2 linked regions of the Drosophila melanogaster genome follow. The protein of the gene in region 1 interacts with the protein of each later gene in a pairwise test. Each region holds a gene or a part of one and is shown on either strand. Other genes may lie near its edges.

The links. Proteins that work in one complex are often made in the same cells at the same time.
Region 2: the proteins of CG6891 (region 1) and Fatp2 interact in a two-hybrid assay, tested with the Drosophila melanogaster proteins (one large-scale study listed by BioGRID).

What each region holds. Positions count from the first base shown.
Region 1 is NC_004354.4:18,773,409-18,781,230, forward strand, and holds the start of CG6891 (uncharacterized protein), read left to right. Parts: upstream 1-1,819; 5' UTR 1,820-2,170; coding exon 2,171-2,221; intron 2,222-3,089; exon of another isoform or gene 3,090-3,447; intron 3,448-6,224; exon of another isoform or gene 6,225-6,437; intron 6,438-7,272; coding exon 7,273-7,596; intron 7,597-7,669; coding exon 7,670-7,786; 3' UTR 7,787-7,822. Other genes in the region: CCKLR-17D3 (Cholecystokinin-like receptor at 17D3), read right to left, coding at 1-377.
Region 2 is NT_033778.4:23,053,501-23,061,473, forward strand, and holds the start of Fatp2 (fatty acid transport protein 2), read left to right. Parts: upstream 1-1,973; 5' UTR 1,974-2,079; exon of another isoform or gene 2,080-2,173; intron 2,174-3,908; 5' UTR 3,909-4,016; coding exon 4,017-4,133; intron 4,134-4,747; exon of another isoform or gene 4,748-4,881; coding exon of another isoform or gene 4,882-4,965; intron 4,966-5,043; coding exon of another isoform or gene 5,044-5,196; exon of another isoform or gene 5,197-5,293; intron 5,294-5,554; coding exon 5,555-5,793; intron 5,794-5,851; coding exon 5,852-6,496; intron 6,497-6,555; coding exon 6,556-6,757; intron 6,758-6,815; coding exon 6,816-7,757; 3' UTR 7,758-7,973. Other genes in the region: CG44253 (uncharacterized protein), read left to right, coding at 4,882-4,965, 5,044-5,196.

The sequences.
Region 1 (7,822 bases):
ACGGCGAACAGCAGAATCATGCTATAGCTGGGTATCAGCCAGACGGGCATGCCAGTGGAAGTACTGGAGCTGGAAGCGGGTGTGGAACTGGGACTTGGACTTGAACTGGTGCCCAGGGAGAAGGCCAGTTCGGTGACCAGGTCACTGGGCTCGGTGTCCATATAGCCATCCCTATCATCATCGCCATAGCTGCTTGTCGCATTGCCCGCCAAGGAGACAGTGCCTCCGTTTCCAGTTCCATTGTAGGGTGCCACGTTGAGCGACACTATGTGACCCGCCGCACTTGGCGCATTGGCATAGTAGTCGAGCAGTGCCCTATAGGCAGCCGCTGCAGCCATGGCCGCCTGGTCGGCATCCCCCTCCTCGTAGTTGAACATCCCGGATGACCGGGTGATTCGTGGCAATCACTGGCCACCACCGCCTGACATGTCCCGTTGCGGGTCACCGAAAAAAATAAAATAAAATTTCACTCAATTGCTATTGAAACGGCGACGCTTGCGCGCAGGCTGGCAAAGATTGCGATATGGAACTCGGGGGTATCCGAGCACACGAGCTGGCGGCTTTGGCTGCCAGGAGAGGGCTCGCCTGCTACCGTTGCGGGTAACGCGTCGTGGGCAACTGACGACTGGCGGACGAGGACGACGCCTCCGCTCCGCTGGGCTAGCTGCCGCAACATGTTGCGTGGGCGATGCCGAATGGCGCAAACTCACCACGGCAACTTGTGGCTAGCAGCATGCTGCCAGGCAGCCCTGTTGCCGGGCAACTCCCATGTTGCGCGGAGGACGTTCCCTGCCGATTGGGACAAATTAATACGGTGCACTGCATCATCCATGGCGTCTGCAGCGGCGGAGCAGCTGCTGTTCGGCCCACGCACCGCGCTAATCATCAAATCAGCCGCATTCCTACGGCACTTGAGTGCCAGAGAATACAATCTCGGCTCGTTATGTGTTTGCACAAATGTTCTGCGCTAATTCCACGGATCGCATTCCCAGCCGACAAGCTGGCAGGGATCAGTGCTGATCTAGACATAGTTTTGGATATATAGCGATTCCGATTAGCACCTATAGCATCTATTTCAAAGACTACCTTTTCGCTTGCAATTGTTGCTCGTTTTTTCGGCGCAGGAAGTGAATGGAATAGCCCTCGATGAAGGAAAATAACATGACCGGGAGCTGCAGTGGTAAGACGTGACTCCACTGGGATACTGGATATGACTATGCCAGGAATCCGTGTTGCCGAAGAAACCCAATAAATCCAATAAATTCATGTTTTGATAGAATAGATAGAATTCACTTCTCGTAAGCCTCTTCACCATCGAGGAAGAGATCTTCTTCAAGGGATTCAGCTGATCCTTAAGGACGTACATAGTTTAGATGGAGGAGTACAGTCGTTGTTTTTCTATCCATCTGACTATACATATATTTGCGCACGATGTTATGGTTTCCTGTGGCCATTGCCAGTTAAGATGGCTAACACGAAGTATTTATGCAAACTTCATTATCATTATAGGAGCATCTAGCAGACTAAATTTTCTCGCGGTGTACGCATAAAACACTAGCCAACATCTGGCTTTTTTTGGTGTTTCCGAAATGCCTGCACTGAAAATGAAAATGAAAATAAAGCCAAATGCGGCGACATCGTCGCAGTTCGCCCGCTCTCGCTTGCTCCCCACGCAGCCGTCTCTGTCGCACCTGCTGTTTGTCTAACAGCTGCCGTGGGGCCTTCTGGCCAGTGCATCTCGCTCGCACGCACGGCGACTGCGCCGCCGACTTCGGCGGTCGACGGTCGGCACTTCATTCGGAGTTGCAGACGCCGGCAACGCCGCATTCGTGAGATACAACTCGTGGTGGTCGGACGAAGTTCAGCGGCTGCTCTAATATCTGGATATCTGGAACTGTGCTGGTTCTGTCCATCGCTCTTTGTGCGCTTGGATTGTGTTTTTTTGTTGTTTTTCTGGCGCTGTGTATTTTTGTTTTCGTTGTCATTGTGCCACTCTGCCACTCTGCCACTTTGTCACCTTGCAAACGGTCAACTCTTCCCGCCAGACCAGCACTCCGTTCCCCTTCGAGACTCACCCGCGATCCCAGGAAGCTGTTCCCAAGAGCACCAGCATCCCAGCTGCGCATTGAAAACCATATCTACATCCACATCCAGAACACAGCGCACCAGCATGTCGGACGGCATCGAGGTCGAGCAATTGGTGGAGAGCAAGCCGAGAAGGGTGAGTAGTGGGGAGTGGGTTGGGCACACATGGAGTTCGAGTTGGAGTTGGAGATGGATGGAGTCGGTAGTCCTGCTCCGGGCAGGGACCATGAAATGTGTGTGTATACCGGCAGGGGACGACCGAAAATTAAGAATTATAAAAGATTGGATGGGGCAGCCAGAAGTCCAGAGAGTCAGAGAGCAGGCCGGAGAGATATCTTATAAATGCACCGAAAGAAAACGGGTACTCAGTATGCTGATCACTTTTAAGGCTGAGCCAATCCGATGGCACAACCTTAAAATGGAAGAAAGTTCTAATCACCACTACATTATAAATACCTACAATTAAAGAATGCTAAAAAAAAATAATATTCTCTTGAGAATAATGATCGATTTTCGAACTTTAAATTGTTCAAATATATATTGAAAAATATTGGGGATTAGTAGAAATATACAATAATATAAAAATTCAATTACCAACAGTGGTATTGAACTCGGACATTGGCTTTAAGGATACAAAATACAGTTTTCTTCCGGTGTACACACTGGAGTTGCTGAAGCCCAGGCCCATGCGGCGTGTGTGTATATCGCTGGGCATGCGTGAGTGTCTGTAAATAACTCTGACATTGGCTCGCCGGCGACTCCGCTCCACAAGAACCGGCCCCAGAGGGCCAGAGGTCCAGGAGGCGGGGTGGCAGCTGGGTTTTATGGCTCTGGCTGGCTGGGCGGAAAGGGGCAGGGCAGGGCAGGAACAGGGACTGAGTACCGAGGGGCAATATCATCTTGGCTGGATGCGATTGCGGGGGCGGATGCAGATTGTGGGGGCGACTCCGAATCCGAATCCGAACCCAAAAACTGAATCCGAATGCGACGCCTTCGCAGCGATGCATATCAAGTTCAAGTGCGTTTGCAGTGCGGCTGCCGCTGCTGCACTTGCTCGCTGGGATCTCGAGACACCATCGATACCCAACGAAGACGCTGCGGTTAATGCGGCGCAGTCCGTCGCCCTGGCAAACACGTATAGCTTTCCAGATTACGGTATTTAGCGGGCACTGGGAGCTGGGTAAATGGTTGCAGTGCCATTATCTTGCGGGTACTTCGTTCAGCTGATCGCAAGATCTGCGTTTCATGTGACTTTTGGTGCACAGCACTTGTTCGCCAACCTAATCTCTATGGCATCAAACAAAACGATTGTGCAGGCCAATAAATATTACAATTTCGAGGTTTCCAAGTGCAGGCAAACAAGTGAGTAATAAAAGTGTATGGAATCGATGGGGATATCGGCCATTCCACACCCTTTCAATGCTCGGGAATCGCTTCCTGACGCGCCAATTTTGGTCATCCACTCCCCGAGTCGTCGTCGTCGTCGTCACCTTCAGGCGGCATGAATCACGCACTCGGAACCTCGTTTCCCGCAACCCGCAACCCGTACCCCATACCGATACCCCGTACCCATCAGAATGACCATCCACAACCCCATCCGGCATCCCAGATCCCCCGACTCCGGGCGTCTGGGGCGTGAGCAGCCACAAAACAGTTTGCTCCTTTGTTTCCTGCACTGTTTGTGCTAGTGTGCGTGGCGAATGAAACATCGACGGCAGCGGAATAAAAATAAGAAATAAAATGAAATGAAATAAAGTAAAGTAAAGTGGGGGAAAAAGAACATTGACATATCGGCGGTCCCAGACCCGGAGCAAGTACGTCATTGCGACTGCGCTGCGGCAACTGGCAATTTGTCACAACATTGCCAATTATTTTTTTTGCTTGTTTTATTTATTTTTTTTTTTTTTTTGGACTTAGTCTGGCCAAGGCGAAGCGGTTAATAACCGATTCGCTGCAATTTATTGGTTATTTTCCAATTGCCTTGCCAATGAGTCAGTTGCATCGACCCACGAATATTCCGCATATTGTGTTTTCACTGTGCATGTATGTCATATATATATCTGCATCGCCTCTCCTTTATTTTCCTTTATTCATGCCCGATCGTATTATTTGGAATTTTTTTCGTTTCTTATCTGAAATTCATTAGTCAACATAAAACACTTTCGGTCCACTTGTACATACACAATGAAAAAGCGAATAAAATACAAAATGTTTAGTGCAATCGAAAGTGAATACTCTAACTTTTATTGTTCATACTTCAGTATTTGCTTTATGAGCTCACGATCTATATATACCATACAATTAGATATATAAACTATACAAACAGAGTTAACTTGAAATAATGTCAGTGGTGTATACCAGGCATCGAATGATAAAAGATACGGATATAATACCATTCACTCTGTAGTTCTCGATAGCTTGCTGTTTACTTAAGGACAGGATTATTTACATACAATACGTTCTCATAGATGTTTATTTTAAAGGTATCCCAAGAATTTCTACAACTGCGATACCTTTCACAAGGGTATCAGCGTTGAGTTACGCAGCAAGTCAGTTTCAAGCACCTGGCGCTGGGGATTCGGTTTCGTTTTCGTTAGCAAATTGTTATTTGCTGTATTATGCTTGGTTACGTTTAGCTGCAGTTATAGCCGCGTTTGATGCATCGCCGGCCCGCTCATTGCCAGATATCGATGGATATAGCTATAGATACTATAGCTACATATATCTAGCTGGCAATGCAGCGTGCTGTATGAATGCACACATGGGCATATATGGCTCATTACGTACGAATCCACATATATAGATAGATATAATACATATGTACATCTATCTATCGGATATGGCCGCAAGCCATTTGAGTAGCGCGAATTGTTTGGCAGATGGCTTTCCTGCTGGAAAGGTGGCTAACTCAATGGATCTGTTAGGATTATTGGTGGTTCCAAGTGAAACTGAAAATATGTATGCATATACATTTCCTGTCATCGCTACAAGGTTACTTATCAGACTGTTGCTCACTGTTTTCCATCGAGAATCACGAATCACGATTAACCGTATCAATTATGGACTGGCTACTGTCGCTCGCTTTTCTATGCGAATCTTTCGAGGATGACGCACTCTGACTTTCCTTGAAACTATTGTAGTTTCCCTTTTTTCGATATATTTCCTGAAGCCAGCGCAATATCTCGATTCCTATGACTAAGCGTCAATCTCTGCTGAATTTTTATGGCGTGTAAAATTGGAACAGGCGAGCCCTACAGATTTAACCGGCACTAATTGCCCGGGCGATCCCAAGAACTTTCGGTAATAAATCAATTACAGTTCCTTTAGTTTTGCGACAGTTTTCTTATCAGAGCAAATAGATGGCATTGCGTCAATTCCGGAGGTGGGGCTATCCGAGCCTATCCTATCCGATCTTTGGGTGCACTCCCAGCCCAACTGGAGTGATCTAATTTGTCGTGTTGTCATTGTGTCAGAAGTGGAGATATGGCCATATAGGCATATATATGTATATAGATACATATGTGCGAACGTTATCGGGCTTATCGGCTGGAAACTTAATTTCAGCTAATTTTAGCCAACAATTTGGCTCACGTACCCGTGGAGGTTGCAGGAGGAGCACCGACATTTCTATATACATTTGTATCTGCTATCTTGCTTGTTTGGGGGAAAATTTGTCGGGTATTTTCGGTGGGTCATTCGCTGCAACGGTTTCTTAGTCGTCCGCTCATTTTTGGCACAGTTTGCGTCCGCATCTTGTTCATTTTTTTTTTTTTTTTGCCTGCCTTCCGACTAATTAATTCAGAGCCACGAAACGGGAGATTCAGAGCTGTTCCATAGTTCTATGCGACGCATAGAATACACATACAAACTCCAAGTTCTTACTGCGTCGCGTTGTGAAAGTCGTCGCCCGAAACATCTTTGGGTTTAATTGTTTGGCTTTTGATATTTTCGACAGTCGTCGCTTTTCTAATTGATTTTTCTCACCAGACGCCGTACTCTCCGGTCATTGAACGCATTATAGAGCGATCTCTATCTCCATCTTCCCATCGGTATCTGTATCTGTATCTGTATTTGTACCTTTAGCTGTATCTGTATCCGTATCTCTGGCCCAGCTTCAATGTCTATTTATACGCGAGTCTAGTTCCTGACTCCAAGCCCGATCCATTTGGCTGGCAGTTGGACCAACAGTCATTTGGCTCTCTTTGTTTGTTGTCATCCCGTTCCGACGACCCCAAGTCACTTATCAAATCTCTGACCTGCTTTCCGCCGGCTGCTGATTGAAAATTGTCACGCGTAAATTGATTTTAATGCGGCGATCCGCTTAAGACAATAAGAGTGCACTACGTGAAAGGGTAGTTTTCCGATCCGTACTACAAGTATACTCGTATCAAAAACCATCGATCCAATCGCTTTACACGCTTTCCACGCATCTAAGCTGAGCCTAACTTTGTGCACATAATGCTACCCCAAAGATCACTTAATAAACCACAATTAAAATTAATCTTTAGCTAACCAAAATCGTATTGAGACTTGGTTTTTTACATTTCACTATCAAGCCATTCGAACTTATCAAGCAATTTAAATTCATTTACATATCGATATTTTTAAATCATCATATTTTTGGGCTTTGAACCAGAACCCTGAACCCTCATATGTGTGTGCTGATATCATTATCAAAAATGCTGTAATTTAATATGCGGGTATGTTCCAGTATGTTATCATAATAAAGCCTTTATTTTTTCTTCGAAATATGTACATATTTACATTGGCTACTTTTCCGCTGGCCCGCTGGTATTATGTTTATAAAGCACTAAAGCGGCAACAAATTGCTTTCCGTGAATCTGCCCGAACGTAATGCAAGTGGGCGATGCAATGGCGTGCCTATTCCCCTGGCCGACTTGAGGTTGCCTGACACGGAAACAAGTCGAATTGAATGTAATATAACCATCGAAAGCGAAAGCACCGCTTAAATCTGACTCATAGATGGCGCCGTCAAGAGTACTTGGCCCCGCATTGAGTACATACAATACATTTCGCTATCGATGGGCCAAAGCGGATGATCCATTCGCCTTGGCGAAACGATTCGGACTTGGAATACATGATTAAGATATATACTTCCGTCTGAAAGTTGCTTATAGTTCCCCTCTTCGCTTGCTTATAATCCTCTTCCCCCTTGCTCTTTCGCAGATGCCGCTGGCCACGTCGCTGGAGAAGGACTCGATTCGCGAGGCCTACGAGGATGTACGCTCCGATCTGACAGACACCGAGTGGGCGGTATTCAAGTTCGATGGCGCCCAGATTATTGTACATGCGCGCGGTCAGTGCTTTGAGGAATTCCGACAGCAGTTCGGCGACTCGGAGCGCGCCTTTGGCTACATACGCATCCAGATGGGTGACGAGATGTCCAAGCGCAAAAAGTTCATCTTCCTGACGTGGATCGGGCAGGAGGTGGGCGTCATCCAGAGGGCCAAGATGTCCACGGACAAGGCGCTGATCAAGGATGTCCTCAACGTGAGTAGCCAATAGCTAGAGATGCCAGAGCCCAGAGGCAGAAATAGATCCTCTCATCTCTAATCTCTTGCAGAATTTTGCCGTGGAACTTCAGGCGGGAGTGGAGGCCGAGCTGGACATTGAGCTCTTCCGTGAAGCACTGAACCGTGCCGGCGGCGCCAACTACGGAACGGGCATCCGGGATAACTAAGCGGCCTCCAAGTTACTTTACATATACATTTTTTTT
Region 2 (7,973 bases), on another chromosome or scaffold:
ATATCGCCTTGAAATTGAATTCTTCATTTCGGGAACTTGCTTCTTTTTTGGTCGTCGAGGGATTGCTTCTTGGGTTCCTCTTTAGTACTTCATTATGGACGCCCTAACGATGTTGTTTTAATGATCTCAAAGACTCGACAGAAATCCACTTGACAAAATCCACAAGCGCAGGCAGAAGTTCCCTTCTCAAGTACCGAACTGCGCAGAGGGAAGAGCGGAGGGCGAAGGGCGAAGGGCAAGCCCCCGAAGGGTAAAATATATTCCAGGCTATATATATAAAAAAAAATGCAAAGTATATATATATATATATAAACTGCACAAATGTGCGGCTGCCTTTTTTTGCACAGACACTTTATGTCTGCTGGGAAACGTGTGAAAAAGACCATCGAATGTCGGGCATATCTTTGGAGCCTTGTGCTATTGGTATATCTTGGCGTATCTACGAGCTGTTGATTGGCGGGAACTATAAAAATTGTTAGGGCTCCCACAGCCATGTAATGCCATTCGAAACTTTCTGTTGACAGATATGAATTATGGCTCACAGGTAGCCGAATGGGCTATGAAATTTCGGTTCCGACGAAGGACAAGGCAAGTTTGTAAAGGACATAGAGCTATGAATGTATAGTGCTTAATTTTGGTCCAGCCTATTCTTTTAAAGGAAATTTTTCTCATTTGCTTTTAAGCTTATAATTTACTAATATATTTAGCGATTCTGGATATTGCTATACTTCTCGTGATTCAATTGTTACTCATTAGGTCGAAGTTCGTACAATTACAGCCTTAGTAGAGCTTTGAGTTCGTATACCCGTATTATTAGCGCTATTTAAACTACAACGATAATCTCGTTAAGTGGGTTCAGCTTTATTGTAATATGATTAGACGATATGAAAGCTTGTTGTATTAGATATAAATGTAGCTCTAAGCGAATAAAAGTGCCTTGCAAGTATTTTGAGCTGTCATTCAGCTGCAAACCCAAAAGTATTGGGCAACCCACAATTGACCCAGTTGCAATGATCCGAGCAAAACTGCTTAGCTATAGCACAGCGGATCTATCTCGCCCAGTCCCACAGACTGTTTATAACAATTAAGCCCAGTCATGGCTACCGATCGGAGCCAAAGAAATGAGCATGCAAAATTATATTTAATAAACGGTTGCGTTGCACTTGCCTCGGAGTTTTGTGGCGGGAGGGGGCAGGAGTTGGCATAGGGGTAACGCATCGATTGCGCGTACAAAGATACATGTACATACATATGTACTTTGTAGATACACGCGAAAAATACATTTCAAATTACAAGCCCACAAATGGTTGATATTATCAGTTTAATGATGTTTTAATTGGTGCAATAGAATAGGCTTAACTAAGCTTTACTTTAGTCCGGCAAGAGGCTTGAAACAACCTAATTGGGTTAACAACAATGCATGTGAAGGGTAAACTCCCAGGGTATTTCTCCCAGTGCACTTATGCATAGAAAGAAAGGCGAGGGAAAGAATCGCAAAGCAGAAGTCGAGGGCAACAGCCACAAAGAGAGTACGAATACGAGACACGTGTTTTGAATTAAATGTGCGCTCCATTCCGCGCGACCTTCCCCTGCGCCCCCGCCCACTGCAGCCGCCCACCCCCCTTTGCAGCCCCCCACCACTCCATTATGGCCACATTCTTGACGCTCTGTGGTTGTTGACATGTTAATGGCCACAAAGGAAACTCGCTTAAGAGGCACGGCAATTGAAACAATACACATGTTGCATGCGGCATAATCACGTGCAAACACAGCAGAATTGCAACCGACAATTTCAGCCGGCCACCAACAACAAGAACAGCGCCAGCACCTTGTTAACTTGGCTCAGCAGCAGAGCTTCGACCCGAAGCTTGGCTTTTGCCAGTGTGCCAGTGTGTATCTGTGTTCGCGACGGCGACCTGTTGCCACCGACGTCGACGTCGGCGGCGGCAGAGCTCCGGCAACAACGGATCCAGAGGCAGTTAGCTTTTTGGGCCCAGTTGCTGAACGAAGCTGTTGGCCGAAAGACGTCGCCGGCTTAAACTTCGACTTAAACTCGCACCAAACTGCAAAAAACATCAAGTAAAATTCTATAGAAATATCGGTTAAAAACATCCGAGAAAGTTTAATAATTAAACGATAGGAAAGATCTACGAAACAGTGAAACATGGATAGTGTAAATTTCTATATTAAGGACTCCACCTTTATTGAAAATAATTTTATCCAAGTGCTTCATAAGTATAATTATATTTTAGTGATTTTTGATCACCCTTACTTACTACAGAGAGTGATAAGATATTTCCTAAAAGCTCGGAATCCAACAAGTTTTTTAAATGCAGTCGCTATACCTCAAAAACGACCTTCGAGAGCAAGATTGTTTCGATTCTGGTTGTGCGTGCAATATATCCATCAAGTTAATAGAGTGAACAGCAATTTCAGCCGCAATTTGATCGCATCCCACATCTCATCTCGAATCTCTTAATCCCCATCCTCTGAATGTTCCGAGCTTGAGATGTGGGGACCCACAAAAGGCAAAGCAATTTAACAAAAGAAAGGAGAAGAAGATTTCAGTGAAAGTGATGAAGCGTCGCCAACATCCGCATCTCTTAATGATCTCTGCCGATCTTATGTGTTTGCCTATATGTGTGCCACAAAAACTAAAACAAAAAAAACAAAAAAAACCACAGTGATGAAGTAGCTACACTAAATGTTTGCATGGGCAAAATGTTGTAAAAAATAATTTGCAACACGAGGACTGAAACTTAAGTTTTAAACTAGCCGCAGGCTGAGTAAAAGCCATGTTTATGCATTGGCAAATTAGCGAACAAGCCGAAAGGGAAATGGGCTAAACATATTTTAATGATTAATTTTTTGACACAAGAGCCATTAGCTTAAAAGGGTTTCTATTGAAGTCAATTAGCTAAACTGTATCTTTTGGATTTTTATTATTCATGCACTTCGTTTAACATTGGAGAACAGCTTTGTACTTGTTATATGCTTGTTAAGTTATATAAATTCTTGAATTCTTTATTTACTTCAACTACTTATTTCAAGTAAACAAATGCCCATTTCCCATTTAAATCTATCCTCCAAGCCGAGACTAACTTCCTGAACGCAAAACTCACTTTAATTGCCTCTTCCATTAACTGAGTTTACCATACATTAACCTTTATGGGCCTTTATGGGCCACCTGTAGCACCGCTCAACTTGGCTTTTGCCATTCGTCGCGCATAAACAACCGCATCAGACCCCAAAACTCACCTTGAGACCACGATCGCTGAATAGCTGAAAAGCTGAACTCAAAAACGTCGCAGCATCATTCAGGCCGCGTCAAAAAAGGCAATTTTTCTCCATCATTTCTACTGGTGTCACCTGTGCACTACAATTGCGAATTCCCCACATCGTTACCACGGCTTTTTCTCAGCTTTTTCGCCTTTTCTCTTTTTGTTTGCTATCTGTTTGTCTGTTGCCTGCCCCTTCCGAGTGCTGCATGTCGCCTAATTACCCATCATTTCGCTGCGAAAGTGCACTGAGAAAAACTAGAGCACTGTAGCCCCCAGTTAACAGCTAAGCAATTTAGTGAAATGTATATGTATTTTATATCGAAGCATATATATGTAGAATATTTTTATTTAAACATGTAAATAAAGCATATTACGATAGTGAGCTAACGAATTAAAGATCCATGGTTCTCATTAATATATATTATTAACATATAATTAGTTTTTCTAAGTGTTTTTAAAAGTACTTTCGTATAGATACTATTTTATAGGTCTCATACTAAAGTAGCATAAATTAACCGAGCTCATTTATAGGTTTCCCGCTATACCTTTTTTATGTTGTACTATCCATAAAAGTGTACAACATTCAATTAATTCTTAAATGTCTTTTTTCTTTGTGCAACCGCCCAGAAATCTCAATAAAAGCCACCTGAGCAGCGCAGTAATTGAAGACCAAACCAAGCTTAACATCAGATTGCAGCCTCTGTAGATGTGCTGTTAAGTCCGAAATCAATCAAAATGTGCACCGCTGGCGTGGTTGATGGTGGTGCTGGGGCCACTACAGGTGGTGCTGATGCGGCTGATAATAGTGGAGCTGCGCCCGCCCCAAGTTCGACGGCCTTGAACCCCCCACAGGTAAATAACACACGACTATGCTCACCTACTCGCACGAGCGTGGTCAACATATGTACATTTTTTTTGGGGTTTCGCGCTTGATTCGCTTTGTTGTTCCATGGGTGGATCCCCCGGCCCTGTCCCGTCGCTCCCCTCGCTGCCAAACTAAACCTTATCTGACGACAAAATAATACTCACGTTGCCATCAAAAACAAACATCGACAAAAACCGCTGAAAACCGAAACCAGTTTACTTTTGGTCCGCCGATTTAACCGGGACTAGGTCTGGGTCTCGAATATTATGCGATCGGTCATCTGTGCGGATAGAGCTCATAATCAGGTTTTATATAAAAGACTAGTGCAGCCTAAAGTAAGTCTTTCGGCGGAGTTGGTCAGAAACTATTTGAAAGTCAAGATCAGGGTGACTTCGAATGGTTTTCAATGGAGGTTATGGAAATAAATTGCTTTTGAAGTGGGGAAACAGGTTAAAAGATCTGATTTTAAGCTAAGTATGTTTTTCTTGTGGTGCACATCATCAATAGTTTTAAGTGCAAAAGATCATTTAATAAAACCTAAGGTCGTATTAACGAAGTTTCGTCACAGAACTAAATGAAATGAAATCTGATCATGTTCAAATTCAATGTTACATTACTTCTGCGAACCAACTGTCAGTTTAACAAAAAATAGACAAAACCCATAAACAAACAGGCAGACAGCCGAACCATTGAAGCGCCAAGGGTCAAAAGAGTTGAGCTTGAGATTTGAATACCATGATGACGGGCACCGACGATAGTCCGTTGGTGGAGGAGGGCGGTCCGAAAGCCAACCAGTATCGACTGACCATTTGGCACAAGGTAATCTGAAGACCACGGACACACACAGAGAGATCATAGAACGTACTATACAATATATCTATTGCACCACATAATTAGGTTGTGTTCTTTATGCTGGGACTCATCTCGGCGCTGACCATCTGCGTTCTGGTCAGATTGTCGAACCGATTGGCCTCCGATGCCGAAAAGAAGGCCTTGATGCACTTCCGAGAACTTTCATCCGGCCGGAATGGTCACCGCTTTGGCCACTAGATGTTGTTGTTTGTCCACATACCACTCTATATATTTTCTGTGTGTTTGCTTTTCACTGTTTTGGTTTGTTTGTTTGCAAATTGCTTAAATAAAGTGCTAATTGATTGATGCGGGTTGGGTTATGGAACTACGGTGGCTAGAGTGCAAATTAAACAACAAGCAATTAGCTGAAGATCAGGAAAAGCTTTGAATCAACTTCATCTGGAGGTGTCAGACCCGGGGGGTTATTCTATTTGCTATCTAAGACCCGTATCGCCTATGTGGGCTTACGCGGCGTATGAGTGATGCAGTCGTTGTTCTCCTTCTCGCAGTTGGCAATCTAAACACATGCATCTTTACTAAAATTGTGACTTTGTAGGTCTCCATTTCCATGAACGAACCGGAAAACCTGAAACCACCTGCCAAATCCAACTTCCGCCGTTATCTTCAGTGGATCCTAGCACCTGTCCTGACCGCCATTTCCGGTCTGATCCTCTACTACCAAGGGCCTTGGTATGGAGTGGCCACGCTATATGCCGCATTGATATCCATACTGCTGGTGCGTCCAGGATGGCGCTGGTTCTACATTGCAGCTGTTACCACACCCAGGGATACTGTGTAAGTAACAAGGATTGGGAAGTTAGTTCCAGAGTTTTTTTAAAACTGTATTCCTTAGAGCCCTCTTTGCCTACATCCGTGTGCTGCTCTTCATTAAGCGCCAGGAGCGCAAGAACCTGAACATCGGAGACATCTTTGAGTCAAATGTGGCCCGGCAGCCGGATAAACTGGCCATTGTCAGTGAGTCCCAGCAGTGGACCTTCCGCCAGGTGAACGAGCATTCGAACCGGGTGGCCAACGTGTTCCACAGTCACGGCTACAAAAAGGGCGACGTGGTGGGTCTGCTGCTCGAGAATCGCGCCGAATTTGTAGCCACCTGGCTTGGTCTCTCCAAGATCGGCGTGATCACGCCGCTGATTAACACAAACCTCCGTGGAGCCTCACTGCAGCACAGCATTACCGTGGGCCAGTGCACGGCGCTCATTTACGGCGCCAGTTTCCGGTCGGCCGTGATGGATATCGCCAAGGATCTGCCCGCCCACGTCGGACTGTATCAGTTCAACGACGAGTCCAACCAGGAGGTGGTGGCTTCCGAGGGCCTTAGCCAGGGACTGGCCCAGCAGTTGAACGGCCTTCTGGAGACGGCGGCCAAGGATAAGGTGGCCGCCGGCGCTTCTCGGGCGGATCATCACGACAAGTTGGTCTACATCTACACGTCGGGCACCACGGGCTTGCCCAAGGCAGCCGTCATCACGCATTCTCGGTAAGATTTGCCACTGGCTGCAGTAAGTTTCTCCTTTACAACGATTCCTCTACTTTCAGGTACTTTTTCATAGCTGCCGGCATTCACTACACGCTTGGCTTCAAGGATCAGGATGTGTTCTATACTCCCTTGCCCCTATATCACACCGCTGGCGGAGTGATGAGCATGGGCCAGGCCTTACTCTTCGGCTCCACCGTGGTCATAAGGAAGAAATTCAGCGCCTCCGGTTACTTTTCAGACTGCGCCCGCTTCCAATGCACGGTAACTGGCTATTGGATCATCCAATATGTTGTATTAATGTGCCTTATTTTTCTGCCAGGTGGGACAGTACATTGGGGAGATGGCGCGCTACATCCTGGCCACGCCATCGGCTCCTCACGATCGGAACCACCAAGTGCGAATGGTGTTCGGAAATGGACTGCGTCCACAGATTTGGCCGCAGTTCGTGGAGCGCTTCGGGATTCGAAAAGTGGGCGAGTTCTACGGAGCCACTGAGGGCAATGCCAACATCATGAACAATGACAGCACAGTGGGCGCCATTGGATTCATATCCCGCATACTGCCGCAGATCTACCCAATATCGATCATAAAAGCAGATCCACATACGGGAGAGCCTTTGAGGAACAGCCAAGGACTGTGTGAGAGATGCGAGGCGGATGAGCCAGGCGTCTTCGTTGGAAAGATTGTGCGGGGTAATCCCTGCCGTGAGTTCCTCGGCTACGTTGACCAGAAGGCCTCCTCCAAGAAGGTGGTCCACGATGTCTTCTCCAAGGGCGACATGGCCTTCATCTCGGGCGATCTGCTGGTGGCCGATGAGCGGGGCTATCTGTACTTCAAAGATCGGACCGGCGACACTTTCCGCTGGAAGGGTGAGAATGTCTCCACCAGCGAGGTGGAGGCGCAGTTGAGTAATCTGGCTGGCTACAAGGATGTGATTGTGTACGGCGTAAGCATACCCAACACTGAGGGCAGAGCAGGAATGGCAGCCATCTACGATCCCACTCGGGAGGTCAACGTCAGCCAGCTGGGCGTGGAACTGGCCAAATCCCTGCCCAACTACGCCAGGCCGCAGTTTCTCAGATTCCTGCGCAAAATCGACCTGACGGGCACCTTCAAGTTGCGCAAGGTGGAGCTTCAGCAGCAGGGCTTCAATCCGGAGATCATCGACGATGAACTCTTCTACGCCCAACCGGATGGCGTGTATGCTCCACTCACCCCATCCGTATACGAGAGGATAGTTAGAAACGAGCTGCGATTCTAGGAGCGCCGGACTTTGTTCTTGGGAAGAAGAAAAGTCAAGACTGTGCCTTGTATGTTGGTGAAGAGGATATCCTTTGGATTCGGCTTGTGGTGCGCCAACTACTTTTAATTCTGGCTAAGTTTCTTATTGTCCGGACAATATAAACTTTAGCATTGGAAATTTACTGTTGAAAGAGCGTTTCCGCGGGTAAATTATTATTTTGTAACTATTTCCTTC